Rhinolophus ferrumequinum: one gene and its partner. The protein of the gene in region 1 interacts with the protein of each later gene in a pairwise test. Links are inferred from orthologs where the notes say so. Each region holds a gene or a part of one and is shown on either strand. Other genes may lie near its edges.

The links. The genes of interacting proteins can lie anywhere in the genome.
Region 2: the proteins of RINT1 (region 1) and RBM41 interact in binary tests that used the Homo sapiens proteins (3 or more experiments, as listed by UniProt). The two-hybrid records come from large-scale screens. The link is inferred for Rhinolophus ferrumequinum from reciprocal best matches to the Homo sapiens genes RINT1 and RBM41.

What each region holds. Positions count from the first base shown.
Region 1 is NC_046303.1:48,937,240-48,944,999, forward strand, and holds the start of RINT1 (RAD50-interacting protein 1), read left to right. Parts: upstream 1-4,738; 5' UTR 4,739-4,821; coding exon 4,822-4,863; intron 4,864-5,320; coding exon 5,321-5,366; intron 5,367-7,760. Other genes in the region: serine/threonine-protein kinase MARK2-like, read left to right, coding at 4,616-4,738. UniProt on the Homo sapiens protein: Involved in regulation of membrane traffic between the Golgi and the endoplasmic reticulum (ER); the function is proposed to depend on its association in the NRZ complex which is believed to play a role in SNARE assembly at the ER.
Region 2 is NC_046284.1:47,454,068-47,461,009, forward strand, and holds the start of RBM41 (RNA-binding protein 41), read left to right. Parts: upstream 1-3,877; 5' UTR 3,878-3,912; coding exon 3,913-4,052; intron 4,053-6,942. UniProt on the Homo sapiens protein: May bind RNA.

The sequences.
Region 1 (7,760 bases):
TATATCTCCTCGGGCAAGGGAAACAAAATAAAAAATAAACAAATGGGACTACATCAAACTAAAAAGGGTTTGCACAGCAAAGGAAACCATTAACAAAATGAAATGAAAAGACATCCTACTGAATGGTAGAAGATATTTCCCAATGATACATCTGATAAGAGGTTAACATTCAAAATTTATAAAAAACTGATACAGCTCACTGCACTGTACACCTGAAGCTGAAGCTGAACAATAATGAATGTCAACTACAATTATATACATATGTATGTACATATATACATATACATACATATATATATATATACATTTACAAGAAGTGGAGTACAGCATTAGGAATAGAGACAGTGGAAATGTAAAGGCTGTGTGCGATGTCTGAGGGGTAGTAGATGGGGCAGGGAGGTTATCACTGTGTGAGGGATATAAATGATAAATGTTTAACTATTTCATTGTTTTGTATACCTGAAACTAAAAACAAAAACAAAAAAAACGGATACAGCTCAACACCTAAAAAAACAAACAATCCTGTTAAAAAATGGAGAGAGGACCTGAATAGACATTTCTCTAAAGAGGACATAGGCATGACCAATAGACATATGAAAAAATGCTCAACGTCACTAATCATAAGAGAAATGCTAATAAAAATCACTTCTGTCAGAATGGCCATCATCAGTTTATCAACAAACAACAAGTGTTGGTGAGTATGTGGGAAAATGGAACACTCGTGCACTGTTGTTGAGATTGCAGATTGGTATAGCCACTATGGAAAACAGTATGGAGGTTCCTCAAAAAATTAAAAATAGAACTACCTTATGACCCAGAAGTTCCACTCCTGGGTATTTATGCAAAGAAATTCAAAACACTGATTCAAAAAGATATATGCACCCTTATGTTTACTGCACCGCTATTCACAATAGCCAAGATATGGAAACAACCGAAATGCCCACCAATATGCGAACTGGATAAGGAAATTGTGATACATTTATACAATAGAGTATTACTCTGCAATAAAAAAGAATGAAATCTTACCATTTGCAACAAAATAGATGGACCTAGAGGGTATTATACTAAGTGAAATAAGTCAGGCTGAGAAAGACAAATACCAAATGATCTTACTTACATGTAGAATTTAAAGAACAGAATAAATCAACAAACAAGACAGAAATAGACTCATAGATACAGAAAACAGAAAACAGACTCATAGTTACAGATAACAAACTGATGGTTGCTAGATGGGAGAAGGGTTGGGGGGATGAGTGAAAAAGGTGAGGGGATTAGAAAATATTTACAAATTGGTAGTTACAAAATAGTCATGGGGATATGAAATACAGTATGGGGAATATAATCAATAATGTTGTAAAAACTCTGTATAGTGCCAGGTAGGTACTACACTTACGAGGAGCATCACTTCATAAATCATATAAATGCCTAATCACTACCCTGTACACCTGAAACTGATATAAAATAATAGTAAATGTCATTGAATTTCAACTATAAGTTAAAAAGCTATATAGTCACAGAATGTACGGTATAGGGAATAGAATCAGTGGTATTGTAATAGCTTTGTACAATGTCAGGGGGGTAGTAGACTTGGTGGGGTGATCACTTTGTGAGGTGTGTGTAAATGTCTAACCACTACGTTGTTTTGCACATGTGAAAGTAACAATAAAAACATACAGAGAGGCAGCTGCAAGAAGAGTCTACCTAGAGTTGTCAGCCTCCGGTCTTCTCCTTGTGCCTCCTGACTCATGTGGAAATGAATGACTCTTGGAAGAGAGTAGGGATGGTTCTCAGGATGGGGAGACTGTGAAATGTTGACACTAAACTGAGGCACCAGGAGCGCAGCAGATATTTTCATTTTGACCTTCAAATATTTTCAAAAGATGGAAGCAGGATCCCTAGGAGGAAACCAGAAGCAGATGGATTTCAGGCTTGTATCATGAAAGGCCTCCAGGCTAGTCCCTTCTAGTACAAAGACTCTGTGATATTAAGATTTTGTAATTCCCTGCTCTCTATCATTTAAAATTGAAGGAGAGATAAAGAGCTGCCCAGAAAAGAATAAGCTAAAGGAATTCATTACCACCAATCCAGCAGTGCAGGAAATGTTAAAAAGGGCTTCCGTAAACAGAAGAAAGATGAAAATAATCTAATTAATAAAGACCAGAAATACAAATAACAAAATGGCAATAACTATGTACCTACCAATAATCGCTTTAAGTGTAAAAGGATTAAATGCTCCAATTAAAAGATATAGGGCCGCTCCGTGGCTCAGTTGGTTGGAGCGCAGACTCTCAACCACAAGGTTGCCTGTTGGATTCCTCGAGTCCCACAAGGGATGGTGGGCAGCGCCCCCTGCAACTAAAGATTGAACTAAAGATTGAGCTGCCGCTGAGCAACCAGATGGTCAGATGGCTCAGTTGGCTCAGTTGGTTGGAGCGCATCCTGTCAACCACAGGTTGCCGGTTTGACTCCGGCAAGGGATGGTGGGCTGTGCCCCCTGCAACTAACAACGGCAAATGGACCTGGAGCTGAGCTGCGCCCTCCACAACTAAGACTGAAAGGACAACAACTTGAAGCTAAACGGCATCCTCCACAACTAAGATTGAAAGGACAACAACTTGACTTGGAAAAAATCCTGGAAGTACACGCTGTTCCCCAGTAAAGTCCTGTGGAAAAAAAAAATCTGTTCCTCCAGAGATTTAGATAGATAAGGTGTTCTATCAGTTTCATCTTTCTCAAGGAGTTTCTCCTGATACCTTCTGACCTGTGTCAGTCTGTCGAGTGCACAGTGTTGTCCAGGCATTACTTCATTTTCTCCTGTGTCGTATCTTCTGTTTAATATGTCCTATGTCTTCTTTTTTCTTTGTTTAGTCCTTCATATTAGTGGAGCAGAACCTCCAGTAGCTTCCTGGGAAAGGAGAAGGGAAATGTTTTGAGACCTTGAATGTCTGAACGCACCTTTATTTTTTACCCACATTTGATTGGTAGTTTACTAGTAAAGCTAAATTTTCAGTTTGAAATAAATTTCCTTTTGAAATTTGATAGAATTATTCCCATGTCTTCTAGCTTTCTCTGTAACTGTTGAGAAATGGAAAGATATGCTGAGTCTTGAGCCTTTGTTTTCTCTCCCAAAGCTTAGGGGTTATCTTTTTGCCCCCAGTACTCTGCAGTTTCACAATGATGAGCCTTGGGGTCAGTCAATTTTTATCCATGTGCTGGGCAGTCAGTGGGCTCTTTTAATGTGGCAACTCATGATTTTTAGTTTGGAAAAATTTTCTTGTTTTATTGATGATCATGCCTTCCCTAACCCCTGTTGGTTTTTTTTTTTTTTTTCCTGAACTCTTATTTTTCAGATTTTGGGTCCCCTGGAGTGGTCCTCTAATTTATTATTTTTCTTTTGTATTTTTCATTTCTTTGTTCTTTTGTTTGTTTTTCCCCTAGAATATTTCCCGACATTTATCTTCCAACTTTTACTGAACTTTTCATTTCTGCTATCATATATATATATATATGTATATATGTATATATATATATATATATATATATTCTGTTATATTATGGTTGCAATGGTATCTGATATCTCAGGATACTGATTATATATATAATTTTCTTTTTATTGGGAATATTGGGGAACAATGTGTTTCGCAAGGGCCCATCAGCTCCAAGTCGTTGTCCTTCAGTCTAGTTGTGGAGGGCACAGCTCAACTCCACATTCAGTTGCCGGTTTCAATCTTTAGTTGCAGGGGGCACAGCCCACCATCCCATGTGGGAATTGAACCGGCAACCTTGTTGTTTAGAGCTTGCATTCTAACCAACTTAGCCATCTGGCCAACCCTTAGAAGCTCAGTGGCAGCTCGTTTTCTTCAATCTAGTTGTGGAGGGTGCAGCTCACTGGCCCATGTGGGAATCAAACCGGCAACCATGTTGTTCAGAGCTCGTGCTCTAACCAACTGAGCCATCCAGCTGCCCCCATATAATTTTTAAAAACGTTTTCTCCTCACTGAATGGTTTCTGTTTCCTCTAAGAGTTGCTGCTCTGGCCCCCACCCTTATTTATGTCTCTGTGGCACCACCACCTTCCATGTTTGTTTTGAAGTCAAATCCAAGAGTCCTCTACCTATCTCTTGCTATCAGGTATCTCCTATTCCTCCTACCCAGCAAAGAGCAGGTATGGTAGGGTATTGGCACTGGGTAAAGTGCATATTAAATGCTGAATCCTTTTCCTCTATTCAGCTCCCAGAAAGTTTATAACCAGATCTGCATCCTCCAGACAGGACATTGGAGGGTTATCTCTAGTTGAATCTGATCAGCCTGAAAGGAAAGATGCAAAAATAATGACATTGGAAGTTCTCCAACTAAACAGCCCAACCAAATTACATTAAAGATAGTCAACAAGCCCACCCTTACACCTTCATCTGGAATATCATCTAAAATATAAATTGAAATGATTCATACTGAATTTATGGTGTGGAGGGAGGGATATCTTCAAGCTCCATCATTAACGGCCCCAGGGAGCTGGAGGAGGTTTTACAGGGGCTGGGAAGGACCGCCCCCTTTCACCCGAGAGCCTCCGGGGCTGCGCCCAATTCCTAAGCGGCCTTCCCGGCCCCTGCCGGCAGGGGGCGCCACCGCGCACGGCCGGCGGCTGCGACGACAGGGCCTCTCTGGGAGAAGAGGAAGAAACCAAAGAGACGGGGAAAGGAAGTTGCGGTGGCGCTCCGCCCTGCAGTCCGCGAGACTGAGTTGGTGTCTGGTAGCTGGCCGGAGCCGGGCTCCACGCGCCACGCTGGCTGCTCCTGGAGCCGAGGATTTACCCGGAGGCGCGATGCTGGGGTCCGGCCAGATCGGCGAGGCGCCCGCAACCCCGGTGAGGCGGCCCTGATGGCCTGGGGAGGGGACACTGGTGGGCCAGTGAGGTGGCACAGATCTCCCAGAGGGGATTGTTTCCGTGGCGGCCGGGTTGAGGACGTGTTTCTCGTGACCCGAGAGAGATGGCTCTTGCAACCCTGGTGAGGTGGCACAGACCTCCCAGGGGAGGTAGTCCCAGAGAGGTGGCTGTGGCGATCCCGGTGAGATGACACTTGTCTCTGGGGAGGTGACCCTGGCGGCTAGGCAAGGTAACGCCAACGGTCCTGGGGAGGTGGCGGTGGTGGCCCTTTTGGAACCTGCATCAAACAGCCCCGGTCGCTCAGGAATGGGCCCGGCTCCGGCCAGCGACCCCGGGGGAAGGGGTCTGGGTCCTCGTGGTCCTCCAGTGTATGTTCTCTTGCATGAGTTCGTTTGCTACTTAAGTCTTAATGTGTTTGTTACACCTCTTCTTCTAGTGCTGCTCTGAAAGTGATGATGAAAGGAAGAACTTCAAGGAGAAAAGTAAGCGACTTCAAACACCTTAGCACTGTCTGTCTACCCAGCCAGCTCTCCAAACTCTGCCTTCCAGTGTCTGCAACCGAGAAGGGTCTTACCCTGTTATGTTTTAGATGAAGTATTTATTTTTCCTGCATAGTATGCTTGCATAGTATTAAATACTGATTATCGTTATACACATTTTTTTGTCTTTCTAAAATTCTAAAATATGGGATGATTTAGAGAAGAGCACTTCCTGACTCCTATCTCGTGCAGAGACTGAGTGGTTTCACGGGAGTTCTGCCCATCAGACTAATTCAAAATAATTGGGGCCTGCCTGTTATTAATATTTTAATGCAGCATCAACTTTTTAAGCATCAGGAATTTGGAGGGGCTAATGATCTAGGAGACATGCCTGCCACTTTAATTGTGTTCAAAGAAGTTTAGCTCATTCAAGAAGTTTAGATCATTGTTTAGCTGTAATTGACCAGTGAATTTGCACTTAAAAATTGATCTGGAAAGAAAACAATGGATAACTTGGTTCCTGGATCTTGGACTGGACAAGGAAGAGGGAAAAGGTACCTCCATTTCCTACCTTGGACAGGAGCATATGTCAGGGATGTGGACATTTGTCGTTTTACTTTAATGAGCTCAGCGTGGCAGGCTTTTGGAAATCAAGGAATCATCAGGGGCTTTTGAAGTAGAATTTATTGGGGGAGGAAGCAAAAAGGATGTAACAGCTATTCCATCAGAGGGTTTTTGGTTCTTCTGACCAGGGCAGAAATAGTCTGGGAATGAGTAGTGGTAAGAGAAAAAGGTGCCCATGTTACCGTGTTGGCTTTAAGAGCTAGGCTTGTCCTTAACATTGTCTACTGATGTAATCTGCATCAGACAGAAAGCCTTTAGTAGTCCATAGCCCTTGACAATCATAGCTGCCACAACTCAGCTCCTTTTCCTTAGAGGATTTGAGAGTACCCCATGTCTTTCAGTTAAACCCTTCCCTTTTCCACCTTTGCCCCATTCATGTCTGGGAAGTTAGTGCCTATTGAGCTCTCATGTTTGTAAAATGATCGATGCAGACTATAGACTTTGCCCTTGTCCCTCCTTTGGCTAGGGCCACTTCTTTGCAATTTATAGTAATGCTCGGTACAAAAAGTAGAGAATAGGAGAGACATAAAACCTCCAAACCACTAGCGTGTTATTTTGAAGAACCTAATTTGACTAAGAATGTACTATGCTGCATTTAATTGGTTATATAAAAAGAGTATAATATTTTAAAAAGTGAAGATAGAATTTACTCCCTTAGCATTCACAAAATAGTCCCTTTGCACGTAGCCCTGCCTCTGCAGGCACGTAGTGTCTGCAGATGTACCACGTAACTCAGTTGTTTAAGATAAAAAAAGAGAAGACATTGTAATTCCTGTACATGACCATAAATGGTTTTCTGTATTAGTAAAGTCTGATGTGGACCAGCTAATTCTGCTCATATTTGAAGAAGAGAATAATATTGGATTGAGAGTCAGAAAGCCAACATGGCATAGTCAGCAAAGGTATACCTGGAGAGACTCGGAAAAAGGAGCAGTGCTGTTGGTCCACAAATCTAGGACAGTGGAAAATAATTTAATTGCCTTTCAAGTGGATTATGTGTTTACTAGAAATTTGTTTTTTTGAGTGTTTTGTTTAGATAAAAATGGAAAAATTATTATAAGGAGTGGACTCTGGAAAATATCACATACTAAATGGGATGAGACAAAACTATCCAAAGCTAGTAAATGTTGCCTCTGCTGCTATTCTTCTCCAAGAAATGGTTTCAGGGTTCCAAATCACCTGTTTTTGTCACATTTAAGAAGTCCAATGTGAATTAATCCAAGTCTAGTTTATTTGCCATGGAAAGATTCTCACTTAAGACTGTACAATTTAGTGCATGCCTTAGTCGTTTTGAATTTTTCCTAGTAATTTGTGTTTTCTCTCATTTCCTTTAAAATTTTTTTTTCTGTTTCTGACATGGACATCTTCATACAATGGCATTTGAAGCTTTTAACACTTTTTTGCTCTTATAGAAGGAGGAGTTTTTACTCATTTCAAAATTTTTTCCTATGCTTGAAATTTTTTAATACTATTTTTTTTTCTTGACACCTTGAAGTCAGAGTCCTCCTTTGTTGTTATTTAGACCATACCATCTGGTTCCTTACAGATTTTGGAAATATATTAGACCATATATTAAAACCATACCAATAAAATCAGATTTGTCCTTGTTTTCCCAGTAATAAAATAGATTCTTAACATATAAGGTCTCCTGGAAATGTTTAATATCTATTTGTAACTGCACTGTCATGCAAATATCTGTTGAAACCTGTGGTTACTAGGACTTTAGGAGGTTTTCCTTCATTCTGAGGAATTTCCTCATCTCTTCAACATTTT
Region 2 (6,942 bases), on another chromosome or scaffold:
GAAACAAATGAGTTTTCATTTCGTGGAAGTTTTGTGATTATTTTATGTCTTTATTACCAGTAAGTGCTTACTGTAAAGTTCTTTAGTATAATAAAGAAAGAGTAGACTACAGTATTCCTATTGACTTTGCACTGAGAGTTCTAGTGTTTTGTTTTGTTTTTTCCTATTGTTTTTTCCCCAGGATATAGAAGAGGTCAGTGGATGCAAGTGGCTTCCAAATCAATATAGTAACACTACAAAATTTACTGGTATATCTCTAAGGTTCCTTCTGACTCTGGTTCAACATGACAATGTTGAGTAAATTTTAACAGAAAGTTGAGAAATAACCTATTTTTGTGGATAATTTTAAGGCAAGATTTATATTAGGTACTGGAATCTTGAGCCCCTCCTAACCATTGTTAAAGACTAGCTAACATATTAGCTGAAGGAGAATTCTTAAATTTGTCGTGTTGACACTTTCACCATGCTTATCTACTCATTTTTTGTCTTTTGAAAAATATGCTATATTTATTTTCTATAACAGCATCTATGCTATTTCATTTGGGGAATATGAAAGATGTGCACAGTTGTTTATACTTCATATTAGACAAGTGATGCTATCCCTTCTCAAGAGAAGATTTTGGCTTTAACATCTTCTTCCATATCTGGAAATTATAATTGCTTCATAATGTATTCATCAGAAGTGTGCTGTGAACAAAGTGCCTAAAAAGGACAAACCCTGAAAATATATCTATGTTAAGGAGGAGCTTCTGGCTTAATTAAACTAACTTTGTTAAAGTATCAGAAAGACAAATGCGGCATATTTTTCAGTTTGTCATAAATTATTCTAGGGGTGAAATTCTGAAATTACCTCATGGTAATATCTCTGTGCTCATGATAACATCTAGAAATCTCAAAGCTTTTTATATACTGTCTGATATCCTTTTAAAGCGGGGAGAGGGATGCTGTGGGAAATGGAATAGTTATTATTCCACAGTTAATAAGTTTGCCCGAGCTAGAAATAGCCTGGTTTTCCTTCTAATGCAATTTTCTGAATGTTTTTCCCCTCGGTACCTACCTCTAGGGCTGGCTACAGTCATGCACAGGTATATAGAGAAATATTTCCTTATGACCTTGCTTTTCCAGTTGCAATTTTAGCTTATGTGAGTATATATTTTTAGCTATTCATTCCCCACTCATCCCACCTAGTGGGTTTGCAATATAGTGTGTACCACTTCAGTACCAATAGGCTGTATGTTTCATTAGAAGTTGTATACAAGTCTGGTGTGATGGATGGTGTAGTTTTGTTTCAGTCTTTGCCACCTTCCCAGGGGACAAACACACTAGCAATTTTGGCGTATTTTTTTCCATTTCCTTATTGATGACTGTTTCAATTGGAGATTTTGGTTGAGTGGCATAATTCAGCCCCACTACTGTATAGGACTTATCTGGTGCAGGCTGTGATATGACCCACACTGATACTTTGCATGAGATTTTCAATCTGTTGGAAGTTCTTAGGATAAGAAGTGCAAAGTCTTCCAGTAGCTACTCTTTGTTTTTATCCTTTAACTTGTGCATGGCAATATGGCCAGTTTGAATAAGTCTGAGCCTACTGGATAACCTTGGAATATTTGCTCATAGATGACCACCCTATCAAGTGACTTTAAAACTGTACTTTTGTATAGTATTTTACAGTGACCCTATTCTGAGGTATTATTCTCATTTTACATATGAGGAAACTGGCCTAGACCAGTTAAAGAAGCTTACTGACTTTCACATAATCTTGTAACTTACCAAAGCAAAAGTTCAAGTCCAGATTACCTATTATGCTATATTGTCAATAACCGGGAACTGAGAAATCCAAACATTGTGATCCCCCCCAAACACATGATCTTTTTATTCTTTGGCTTTTTGTGATATAAAAAGGTTTCCCTTTCATTTAAAAAAAATGATTGACTAGGTTATATAATCACATAATTCGAAATTCAAAGAATGCAAAAAGATACACAATGAAGAGTTTTTCCCACCCTTGTTCCTCACCATCCATTTTCCCTACCTGGAGTCATTCACTTACCACCAGAGGCATTTTATGCATATATAAGCAAACATATTTCTCCTTCTTTTACTCAAACGGAAGCATACTATATACATCATTTTGTACCTTGCTATCGAACTAAATACATTTTAGAAATTGTTCAGTAGCACTCCATTGAGAACTTTGTCATCTCTGGGACTGCTGCATAGTTTTCCATTGAATGGATGTATCACATTCATGGATATTTAAGTTATTTGCAGTATTTTGTTATTATAAACAATGCTGCAGAGGATACACATACACATGTACATACTTGAGGATGCATAGTATTGAGGATACCATTCATACACATTGAATTGCTGTGCTAAAGGGAATGTGCATTTATGATTTCAAATGTATCCTCAGGTTACCTTCCATAGAAGTACCAATGTATGTTCCTACCAGCATTGTATTGAGAGGGCCTATTTCCCCACAATCTTAACAAAACAAGTGTGTTGTCAAATTTGTGGATCTTTACCAATCTGGTAGGTGAAAAATGTTACTTTAGTGTACTTTTTAAATTAAACTTTTTCTTTAAAGAACAGTTTTAGATTTACAGAAAAGTTGCATAGAATGGAATTCCATATGCCTCCACTCAGTTCCCTTAGTGTTAACATCTTAACCTATCTCTGGTATTTTGTCACAGCTAATCAACCTCATTATTAACTAAAGTGCATAGTTTATTCATATATCCTTTTTTTTTTTTCTTTTACCTAGGGCCCCTTTTCTGTTCCAGGATCCCATCCAGGATACCACATTTCATTGTGTCATCACCATGTCTCTTTCGGTTCCTTTGGCTGTGACGGATTTTCAGACTTCTCATGTTTTTTACGACCTTGACAATTTTGAGGAGTACAGGTCAGGTGTTTTATAGTCAGTGTACTTTGAGATTTCCATCTCACTTATGAGATTAAACATCTTTCTTTTCATACACTTAAGGATATTTGTATTTCCATTTCTGGGAACTAGGAGCCCATGCTCTTAATCGCTATGCTGTACGTCTCTCTTGATGCACCATAATTATCCGTAAAACGTTCACGGGCCTGAATACGTATGGATTTCTGATTCTTAACGACATAAATGTCTTGTGCGTAAGCCTCTGTTACAGATAGAGGAGAACCATTGGTATAAGTGAAGTCAGCAAACTTGTGTCTGATCATTCTGGCTACACTGCAGAGGATGGACCAAAGGCTCCACTTGAAATAACAGGAGGTTAGTAAGTCTTTGAAAGCAGAAGCAGAGCTGATGGGGACACAACTGAAGGAAATTGGAGGCGCCAGGATTTGGTGATACTGGATGAGAGTCAAGAAGTCAAAGGTGACTCCTAGGTTTATGAGCTGGATATTTTGGGTGTTGCCTTTAACCTCTACAAGAAACTCGAGAAAAATACTTGAACAATTTACAACATACCGGTTACTGAATACGTACTTTCTCTTTCAGTATTTTTAGTTCTGCGCTACTACAATTCCCAGAGCCGCGCGCTCCACCACAATCCCCTTCGAGTTTACCGCGCAGAGTTCTGGGAGTTGAAGTCCACGGCCTGTTTACCCAAGTTAGAGATAGGGGCCTGTGGAAACATGAAGAGGTAAGGGTTTGTCTGAGAACAGGCGGCGAAGGAAGCTCTGTTCTACCATTTAACTTTTAAAATGGCTTGTATTACTTTGTGTTTGGGGTATGTCACGTTGTTGGGTTGCGGTTTCGTGGGAGCGGGAAGACAAAGGAGGAGGGAGGAGGGGAGACAGGCTAGACAGGCCTGCAAGGGGAAGTTCGGGAAGGGCCTCCGCCGCTGCGGGTTCCCGTAGGAATGCCCTTCCAGCCCAGCCATGTAGGCCACGGCGCCGGCCCCGGGAGCTGGACAGATGCTGTGGCTTTTTCATGTTTCAGACAGACCCACCCAGGTGAAAGGGTCTTGGCGGACAGATGCCCAGCGCCGGAGAAACCCAGGCCAGCTCCTCCTTGTCCCCCTCATCTCCACCCTGTTCTCAGAAAAGGGCTGTGGGTGAGCGCCTTTATTTGCAGTGTTTGTGTATTAAAGGAGACTTGCTCAGTCCCCAAGAGCATGTAGCGCTTTCAAATCTTAAAGTAAGCAAGTATGCTTTGTTTCTACAAATTTAGAAGGCAAGTACGTACAATACCTATTCGGTGTACTACAGGAAAAGAATGGCACTGCTGCAAGCAGTTCCCCCTACTGCTTCTGCAGGAAATGGCAGCTTTAATTTGGGTCATTGTTGAAAGCGAGCTTCCCAATTATTGATAGCACACAAAGAGTTTTTAAAGGATCCTTATTAAAGTAGTTTTGTATTTACTCTGCAAGTAGAATAATCTCTCTGGAATAGGGCGGTGGGTGGGCTCTATTAAAATTCTTACTGACACTGCTCTCTTGCACTGTCAGTTTCTGCATCTTTTAAAAACTGTTTCTGATTTTCCCTGCCTCAAAATGACTCTTAAAAAATGTTTCTTATGATATCTTTCATACATGAAAAATTATATATATATATATATATATAGTTTAAAGAATGATAATAGACCCACTACAAGCTTTAAAATTGGAACATTACCAGTACCTTAGAAGTCCCCAGTGCTTCTTGATTGCTTCTCCTCCCCCCTTTCCCCTGAGGGGACCACTATCCAGAATTTTGTGGTAAACATTCCTTTGCTTTTTAAAAAAAATCATTTTACCACTTAGGAATTTATCCATAAACAAAATGTTGCTCGTTTTATCCATTTTTCAACTTTATATAAATGGACACATATTGTATGAATTTTTCTGGGACTTGCTTTTTTTCACTCAACATTTCTTTTTGAGATTCATATGTACTGATTTATTTAGGTATGGTTTATTCATTTCAAAGCCACTTTAAACTTAGCAAGAACTTTCAGAATTCTAAATAATAAAACTAAGATACTTAAAAGGGATGTTTTAAAACCCTAGGCCTAAAGATACTTAAAATTTTCCTGAAATACCTCTTAGTCTTTCTAGGGCACGAGAAGTTTACTTGTAATTACCGGGGGTACTTTTCCTAGGCCCCAATAGTAAAGGGCTATTTTATAAAAAAAATCATTTTAATATTTATTTTCCTCGTGGAGTTAGCTCATTTTTTTGTTGTTGTTTTTGTCTTTTATAATCTGTTGTTGCCTACTTAGAAGGCCTTGCTATTTCTTTAAACTCTAATAAGAGCTTTCAATTATTTAGAGTTAGTTAGTTCATGTTATTAGCATTACCTAGATTTTTACCTAGGCTATAAAATGTTGTGACCCTTTTCATATTTGGTTCTGTGCTCTCTCCTTTGGAGATCTCCTGTTTCACAGCTTCAGACCCTGACAATACAGATGACTTGAGATTTACATGTTCAGCCTGAGACTCTTATCTATGCAACAATTCTCACATCTCTCACTTTCCTTTTAGTCAATATCACTTATACTGTCACCTCAGACTCAATAAGTCTTTGAAGTATTCCTGGTACTTCATGCTGGTGTTTTCAGTTGTAATAGGTAGTTGACTCAACATGACTAAAACAATACTGACTTTCCCTTTCCCAAACCATTTATTTCATTTGGAGCTTCCTCTTTCCTTCATTGGTACCCTCGTCCTCTCAGTTTCATAGCTTGAATTTGGGGGTTATCTTTGACTTCTCCCTTACCCCTACCTTACCTCCTTATGCTTGATACATTTAAATAGTTTTCCACCTAGTTCTTCTGGTTTCCTTCCTATTAATTCACAAGGCATATTATAACCACATTCTTTTTCCTAAACTATCACTTGTACCGTGTCACTTAGCTGCCTAATAAATTACATTCTAATACCTATATATTAAGGTCTAGGCTCCTTAGTTGGTATATTTAAGGCCATTCACAGTCTGAGTCTTAATTACCCCTCCAAGATTATTTCCCAGTCCTCTCATACATGAATGCCAGCTAAATTGAACTTCTCATTATTCCCCAAAACATCTCCTTATACTTGCTCTCCCTGTTCTTTCCTTCATCACACCCAGTCCTTCAAATGCCAGTTTAAGAATTACCTTTCCGAAGTCTTCATTTACCACCTAGCTCCCAATTATCTCTTCTGTAAACTGCTGATTTGGCATAAGAGGTCAGACAATTAAGTTCGCGAACTCATCCTAGAAAAAGTGCTACATACCTCATTGCTGAATATCACTACAGTCACCTTCAAAGTACTCCCCTTGGGAAGCTATGTACCAACGCCAGCGCCTAGTCCACCCTTCAAAGCAATTTTGGAACTCTTTTTCTGGAATGGCCATCAGAGCTGTCGTCATATTACCCTTGATGTCCTGAATGTCATCAAAAGGTCTTCCTTTCAATATTTCCTTTATCTTTGGAATATTGGGGCCAGATCAGGTGATCTGTTATTGGGGCCAGATAGTTATTGGGGGCCAGATCAGGTGAGTAGGGAGGGTGTTCCAGTATAGTTAGTTATCTGTTTACTGGCTGAAAACTTCCTCACAGACATTCGTGTGAGCTGGTACATTGTTGTGATGCAAGAGCCATGAATTATTGCTGAAAAGTTCAGATCGTCTAACTTTTTCATGCAGCCTTTTTAAATAGTAAACTTGGTAAACTGTTTGTCCATTTGGTACAAATTCATAGTGAATAATCCCTCTGATATCAAAAAAGTTAGCAACGTCATTGCAACAAAGTTCGCAAACTTAATTGTCAGACCTCCTATGCTTCTCTGTATTGTTCTCCTCTCCTCTCCTGCCCACCCTTACCCTCCCTTGCCCTCTCTCTCCCACCCACCTCCCTGCGATGCACACACACATAACACATATACACATATATATTCCCTCTCCCTAAGTAAATTTCAAGCTGTTTGAGGATAGGGACTATGTCTTGAATATCTGACTCAGTCAGTACCTTACACAGTGTATTGT